Linked DNA regions of Callithrix jacchus. The protein of the gene in region 2 purifies or fractionates together with the protein of the main gene of each other region. This does not show direct contact. Links are inferred from orthologs where the notes say so. Each region holds a gene or a part of one and is shown on either strand. Other genes may lie near its edges.

What was found.
Region 1: the proteins of UBXN10 (region 2) and VCP purify together in Homo sapiens (affinity purification with western blotting; 3 studies listed by BioGRID and IntAct, with this or other methods). This does not show direct contact. The link is inferred for Callithrix jacchus from reciprocal best matches to the Homo sapiens genes UBXN10 and VCP.

What each region holds. Positions count from the first base shown.
Region 1 is NC_133502.1:141,942,947-141,946,446, forward strand, and holds part of VCP (transitional endoplasmic reticulum ATPase), read right to left. Parts: intron 3,055-3,500; coding exon 2,924-3,054; intron 1,652-2,923; coding exon 1,520-1,651; intron 178-1,519; coding exon 75-177; intron 1-74. UniProt on the Homo sapiens protein: Necessary for the fragmentation of Golgi stacks during mitosis and for their reassembly after mitosis. Involved in the formation of the transitional endoplasmic reticulum (tER).
Region 2 is NC_133508.1:57,038,131-57,042,155, reverse strand, and holds the start of UBXN10 (UBX domain-containing protein 10), read right to left. Parts: upstream 2,801-4,025; 5' UTR 2,734-2,800; intron 1,327-2,733; 5' UTR 1,155-1,326; intron 1-1,154. UniProt on the Homo sapiens protein: VCP/p97-binding protein required for ciliogenesis. Acts as a tethering factor that facilitates recruitment of VCP/p97 to the intraflagellar transport complex B (IFT-B) in cilia.

The DNA.
Region 1 (3,500 bases), on a different chromosome or scaffold from region 2:
CATGAGCTCTCCAGCTCATGAGTCCCCATTCAAAATTGGGTCTAGCTAGACCTAAGATGAACCAAGTCTCTTACCATTGATCAAAAAGAAGAATGCTCCAGTCTCATTTGCTACAGCTCGAGCAATCAGGGTCTTCCCTGTCCCAGGAGGTCCATAAAGCAGGATTCCTCTAGGAGGCTGAGGACCAATGCAGAATGTGATTAGGTTCTCACCTTCTCCCAAACCCTAAAATGGATTGACTAGGGCTCCAGAGAGGGCGAGAATCAGTCTTCAACCCTGACAATATTAAGAATGAGCCCTCAGCAGTAAATGCTAGGAAGACAGCTTACTTTAGCCACACTAGCACAGAAAATACTGCTACAAAGTGAGCAACATTTATGATTGCAACTTGCATAGGAGACTAAGGGCAGAGAAACTCTAGTGAAAAATAAGTTTGAAGATACGTAACTAGGAAAAGGCAAAAGGACATTACACTAAGGGCTCAATTTCAGGCAGACCAAGGGCCAAAGACTAGCTAAGACATTTGAGAGAGCAGGGTCTATTTTCGTCATTGCCAGAGGATCACTTACTCCAGTAATCATACCTTCCAGAATTTATCACATTGGAATGATGTTCCTTACAATCACCAATCTTCTTCTTTGACACTACCCTTTCTATGGCCTTATTTACAAGCAGGACATTGAACATAGAAGATGAAATTATTTGTTTATTGACACATACTAAGGAAATGAGTAACTTCATTTTCAGTGTGTTCCACGATATAGAAAAGAATGGGAAACTACACTCTAGACCAATAGTTCTCAAATGTTTTAAACTCAGAACCCTTTAAGACTCTGAAAATTGCCGGGCGCGGTGGCTCACGCCTGTAATCCCAGCACTTTGGGAGGCCGAGGCGGGTGGATCACGAGGTCAAGAGATCGAGACCATCCTGGGTCAACATGGTGAAACCCCGTCTCTACTAAAAATACAAAAAATTAGCTGGGCATGGTGGCGTGTGCCTGTAATCCCAGCTACTCAGGAGGCTGAGGGAGGAGAATTGCCTGAACCCACGAGGCAGAGGTTGCGGTGAGCCAAGATCACGCCATTGCACTCCAGCCTGGGTAACAAGAGCGAAACTCCGTCTCAAAAAAAAAAAAGACTCTGAAAATTTCCTTAACTTGCTTACTTCTACCAGGTGACACTGCTCTAGATAGGCTGGCAAACTATGGTGAGATTTGATTTTACAGGGTCCACTGAGACAAGAATAGCTTTTACATTCTAAGAGCTGTAAAGAAAAAACCCATATATATGTGTGCATGTGTTTGTGCGCATATGCACACAACAGAGAATTTAATTAGCTTGCTCTGTTCTATACCATCAACTCTAATGAATTTAGAGCCTTCAGTGAATTAAAGGATTTATTACTGCCCCTCTAATCCAAGACAATAACAAAAGCCACGTATGAAAAAGTCCCAGGATCAGACATTGGGTAGTCATTAATCACCACTTTAAACTGGATCCCAGAGCCCAAAATGCTCACCTTCACACCAATTGCCTTAAAGAGGGCAGGATGTCTCAGGGGCAGTTCCACCATCTCCTTTATCTGAGCCAGCTGCTTCCTACAGCCACCAATATCATCATACCCTACTTCATTCAAGGACTCTTCCTCATCCTGAAAAAGAGATAAAGAAAGCAGAAGGCAAGAATATAATATCAGCAGAAGCTGAGTTTCTCTAAATCATTCCACTACCTAGTGTACAAAAACCTACCATATAAGAAGATTCTCAACCCAGCACGGTGGCTCACATGTGTAATCCCAGCACTTTGGGAGGCAGAGGTAGGACTGCTTGAGTCCAGGAGTTCTTGGGCAACATAGCGAGACCCTCATGTCATTAAAAATTAAATTAAATTGCCAGACGCTGTGTCTCATGCCTGTAATCCCATCACTTTGGGAGGTCAAGGCGGGTGGAACGAAGTCAAGAGATCGAGACCATCAAGATGGTGAAACCTCGTCTCTATTAAAAATGCAAAAATTAGCTGGGCATGGTGGCGCATGCCTGTAGTCCCAGCTATTCTGGAGGCTAAGGCAGGAGAATTGCTTGAACCCAGGAGGCGGAGGTTGCAGGAGCTGAGATCACGCCATTGCACTCCAGCCTGGGTAACAAGAGCGAAACTGTCTCAAAAAAAAAAAAAAATTAATTAAATTAAATTAAAAAGAGAAGATTCTCCTCTACAGGGATCCAGCCTCAAAGAACAGCTATAAAAATCCCAAGGCAAAGATTTCTAGCACAGTCCTTGCCTCTCACATTGCTCGTAGTCTTATTGAGAAGGGGGTCTCTAAAATCTGAGGCTGGAAACTCTGGGAATGGACAAAGGCCTTCAGCCACCATCAGCTATACTTCAAAATTGATTTCAATCACTTATATACTTTGGGTTCAGTCTAGATTTTTGAAATTCCTGGCATTAGGTATCTCCAAAAAACACCTAGACCCAGAAATGAATATCTGGCAGATTTCTCATCCCTGAAAGATGCTTAGTTCTCCAAAAAGCATCCAGTCTGTTTTTTTGTTTTTTTATTTTTGAGACGATCTCACTCTGTCACCAAGGCTGGAGTGCAGTAGCACAGTCTCAGCTCACTGCAACCTCTGCCTCCTGGATTCAAGCAATTCTCCTGCCTCAGCCTCTTGAGTAAGCTGGGATTACAGATGTGCGCCACTAGGCCCAGCTAATTTTTGTATTTTTAGTAGAGACAAGGTTTCACCATGTTGCCCAGGCTGGTCTCAAATGCCTGACCTCAAGTGATCTGTCCCCCGAGCCTCCCAAAGTACTGGGATTATAGGCGTAAGCCACTGCGGACAGCCGAGCACCCAGTCTTGACAGTTACCACATGATGCCACACTGAGTAATCACGAAATTGGATACTGTGATCAGGGAGAAAACTCACCTCTCGTTTGATAGGCTCCCCTTCGCAGTGGATCACTGTGTCTGGAGCAACAATGCAGTAAGGGCTAGGATCTGTTTCCACCACTTTGAACTCCACAGCACGCATCCCACCACGGACAAGAAAAATGTCTCCTGTGAGAGCAAGCAATACAAGCACAGTTAGAGGTGTCAGCTACAATACAAATTGAGAATTCATCAGACCCTGGGTCAAAATGCCAAGCTTATTAGGTATTGTCCTTCATTAGATATTACCCTCTCTCCAATGCCACCCCAACTGTCTTAATAAGTAGTAGGCAAAAGGAGAAAGGTAAACTGTGAAGAGTCCCTCTGCCACTCAGGAGGTTGGTGCAGAAAACCTGACATGCCAGAAGCCCATCAAGTTTTGACTTCTGCCATATAATTAGCCCAAGCTTTACTACAACCACCAATGCTAGAACTGTACACTTTGGACCCTGACATAGTCAAAATGGACCACCTTCTCCTTCAAAGATCCATAAGGATAGCTTACTCTCCTGGAACAGAGAAGGGGAGAGATGGAGGGAGAAAATGATGGAGGAAAAGAAGGGCAGAAGACATGA
Region 2 (4,025 bases):
GCTCATCTCAGAGGGGAAGACTGTGACCCGTGGGAGTTGGTGGGGAGGGCCTGGGCTGGTCAGGCCTCTCGTTTGGCTTGCCCCCTCACTCACTCTGGTCATCCAGAAGCCTTCTGTGGCCCTCGGAATGTGTAGAAGATGGTGGTTTCAGGAGCTGCTGCTTTTGCAACTGAGTGCTGGCGGCTTATTTTTTGTTAATGATTCTGTCAAAGTGTCTTAGCAATGCTCTTCAGCCCTTCAGCGCCCACCCCTAAAAAGATTAGAGTGGATTCTTCATTAGCTATTTTAGAATCACCTAAGAATTATGCAATCCTTTGGAGAATCAAATTGGCTTCTCACCCCGCGCGTGTGTGTCTGTGTGTGTGTGTGAGCGCATGCGCGTCTATGCGCACGCCTTTGCCAGTGCACAGTGAAATGGCGGTCGGTTTAATGTCGCAGTACAGGCCTTTCGCGCTCCAGTGTTGCGTAATGCACAACCCCGGGGGAGGCAGAAGAGGAGGACAGGAAGCTGTCGGTTCATTGCTGTGACTCTGCTGTCTTTGTCCCCGACCTTCTATATAGAGGATGTCTTCAAAGAATGGACCCAATAATGGCTGGTGTCAGGCACATACGCAGAGTGGGTCTCAGGAAACATGGGCAGAGGTCATTGCCCTTCTAGCAGAAATGTGGACTCAGCTTCCTTTACAGACATGCCTTGCTCTGCTCTCCGGCTCTCTCCCTGGGCTGCAGCCAGCCTGCTCCCCAAATGGCCCCAGCTTTTTCATCTCCAGTGTCTTTGCTCATGCCTGCCCCACCTTGCCCCCTTCCTTGAAGTTAAGCCAAACTGACTGATCCTTCAAGCCCCATCTTAAAAGCCACCTCTTCTGTGAAGGCCTTTCCTGGCCACAGCCTCCCCACAAAACCTTCTGTGCTCTCTCAGGACCCCTTTGGTCCAGGGGAACATGCCCAAGATGGCACTGTGCACCCTCCCTAGGTTGGCTCCTTTCATCTGCACGACGCTTCTCCATGGAGGCATCATCGCCATCCTTTGCTTTAGAAAACAGTGGAGCCTCAGGGTTCCCCACAGTGAATGAGCAGCAGAGCAACTTTACAACCCATATCTAGCTGTTTCCACAGCCCACCCTGGACCCGAGTCCCACCCCCAAGTTCCTCACCTGCGTGTTCCCCCACGGCACTTATCTGCGTTGTCCATTGCGCTGGTTGTAGGGACCGCAGGCGTGGCCTCTAAAGCCAAAGCTTGAGTTTGAATCCTGGCTCCACCACTTGCCAGCTGAGGATCCTGGGTAAATGATTTACCTTGGCTAGATGTCCTCCGTTTCCACACCTCTAGAAGGGAGATGATAAGCACAGGATTGTTGTGAGGCTGAGTGTGCACCTCCTCCAGTAAGTTTGGAGCTCCTTGAAGTCAGGAACTTGCCTGTCTCAGAATCCCCTGCTTTGCCCACACAATGCTTACTTTGTGATAGGTGCTCAGCAAGTGAGAATAAGTTAATGATGATGGTGTTGCTGATTCCAAGTCTAGCCTTTCCACTGAGCGATCCAGCAAGCTGCTAATTGGTATCCTTCCCACCCATATTTGGCTTGGAGTCCAAATGACTTCCCCAGGGGCTGGCTGAAGGCGGGAGCCCCAGTTTTTCAGCAGCTTGTCCCCACAGAGTGGCCCCATTTTGAATGAGTGACTTCTAGATTTCAGAGTCTATACCCAGTGTCCTGCTCTGCCTGTCCTTGATCTCATTAGACATGTGGATTGAGATCATGGGTAACCTTTAAGCAGAAGGCGAACCAGGTGGATAGTCTAGTAACAAGGCCAAGAGGCTGACAATTAGTCATGGCTCCTGTGATCAGCTTCCTGAGGGGACCTACAAGAGGGAACTTTCTGGATGATGAAACTTAACAATGGGGATACACGCTGAGAACTTCATTGCTAGGTGATTCCGTCATTGTACAAACATCGTGGAGTGTGCTTACCCAAACCTAGATGGGTCTCGCCTACTACACACCTAGATGATATGGTGTCGCTTACTGCTCCTAGGCCACAGACCTGTACAGCCTGTTATTACTCTGAATACTGTAACACAGTGGCAATTGTAGCACAGTAGTATTTGTGTAACCAAACAGATCTAAACACAGAAAAGGTACAATTTAAAATACGGTATAAAAGATAAAAAATGGTATGCCTCTAGAGGCAGCTGCAATATAATCTTATGGGACCACTATCATATGTGTGGTCTGTCATTAGACGAAAATCTCCTTATATGGTGCGTGACTGTGCCACGGCTTTTTATGATTTTCCCTGTATTGCTGGAAAATATCCAAAAAATGTATAGCCTACTTTCCAGTCTTGTTAAGCAGAACACATCAAACTCTGGAACTTGCCTTGGCTACTGTTGACCAAGTGTTTTCACCTTCAAGAGCTTGTTGAATCTTGCCGGCATTCTGTGGGGGGCTAGAATCACTGTCTCCACCTCCCTGGTGGAAGAAGCTGAGGCTCGGATGGTTTAAATCTGTCAGGAAGGGGCAGAACAGCTCCAGCCCTCTTCTTTGACGTGGCTCCTGAGTTAATCGCCCTCCACCCTTGCAGTTTCTTGCACAATGCTACCCTCCTTGGCAACTCACGGTCAATAATTGTGCTCCAGGTGCACTATTTTGATGTGGATAGACCCAGCTGCCCCAACACACAGTGGCCCAGGCTCCTAGGCTTCATTGTTTATCACTTTAATCACCCCCTCTTACCTTCCTGTAAGAAAGAAGCCGCTCTGACACCATTCCTCTGCAGCTGCTGGACCTGAGAAGTGAAGCCGAGCAGCTTCTTAGAACTGTGTCTAAAATAAGAGTCGAAGAGTATAGTGATACCTGCTTTGCTGCTTGGGTTGTTTTGGGTTTTGCCTTCTCGGTGTTTTGGATAGGCACCGAAGCAAGAGAGCTTTCAAAGGTTAGGAGGGCCAGCTTTGGAGTCAGACACACCTGGGGTTAAGTCCAAGACCTGTCAGTTTGCAGGGTAAATGACCTGACCTCTGCCAGCTTCAATTACTCTTATTGGTAAACTAGAATTAATTGTATATGCCTCATTGGGAGGGTTCAGAAAGATTCTAAGAGAATCCTAATTCACTTCCTGTGCTTAGCCTCCTGTTGGTACTCCAGGGGCTGCAGGGATTGTTTTTATTTCTGTGACTTGAAGTATGATAAGACTATTTATTCATTCATTCATGCCTCAAATATTTATTTACTGCCCATCTTTCCATGCCTAGTTTCCTTATTTGCCAAATGAGGGTAATAATGGCATTTATCCAGCTGGGGGATGTAAGATTTAGTGAGTAAATATATGTAAAGTGCTCAGAACCCCTGCAAGGCATAAATAACATAAATATGATATATACATTAGCCATCATCATCCTTAGTGCTAGTTTGCGCCAGGCACTGTGCTAGGAAGACACTGGGGATAAAGAAGTGAACAAAACAGACATGACCTCTGTCCTTAATGAGCTTGCAGGCTCCATCCATCTTATTTTCTCTATGGGAAGAAAAGCCAACCAGTGTTTCATCACTGTTGATGAAAGCTGAATTGATGGGTCCAGGAAATGACCCAGACAGTAGCTCCTAGGGACTGCACAACTTGCTGGCTGCTGCCCTAGGGGCTGGCATGGGAGGCAATGCCGTACTTTCTACATTCGTGCCCCTCATCCAGCCTCTGGCCCTCAGGTCCTGTGCTCCTGGTTTAGCTTCAGCACAGTCCTAAGCAGCCCCCGATGACTTGTCAAATGGAGAGAACCATGCCTGAATCATAGCTGTGAAGGTCAGTGCATGAAAATGCCCTCAAACCTTCAAAATGCCACATGAATGTCTGGGCAGGGAGACTGGCAAGGGGGAAGAGCACTGGATTTGGAGCGAGGGACCAGAGTTTAAGTCCTGGCCCACTTCGTAGCTGTGTAGATTTTTTCAGGTTACTTCCCCCTCTCTGAGACTGGGTCTCCTCTGTCAAATGTGAATGCGATAGAACCTGCCTGGTAGGGTTGCAATGAGGGGTA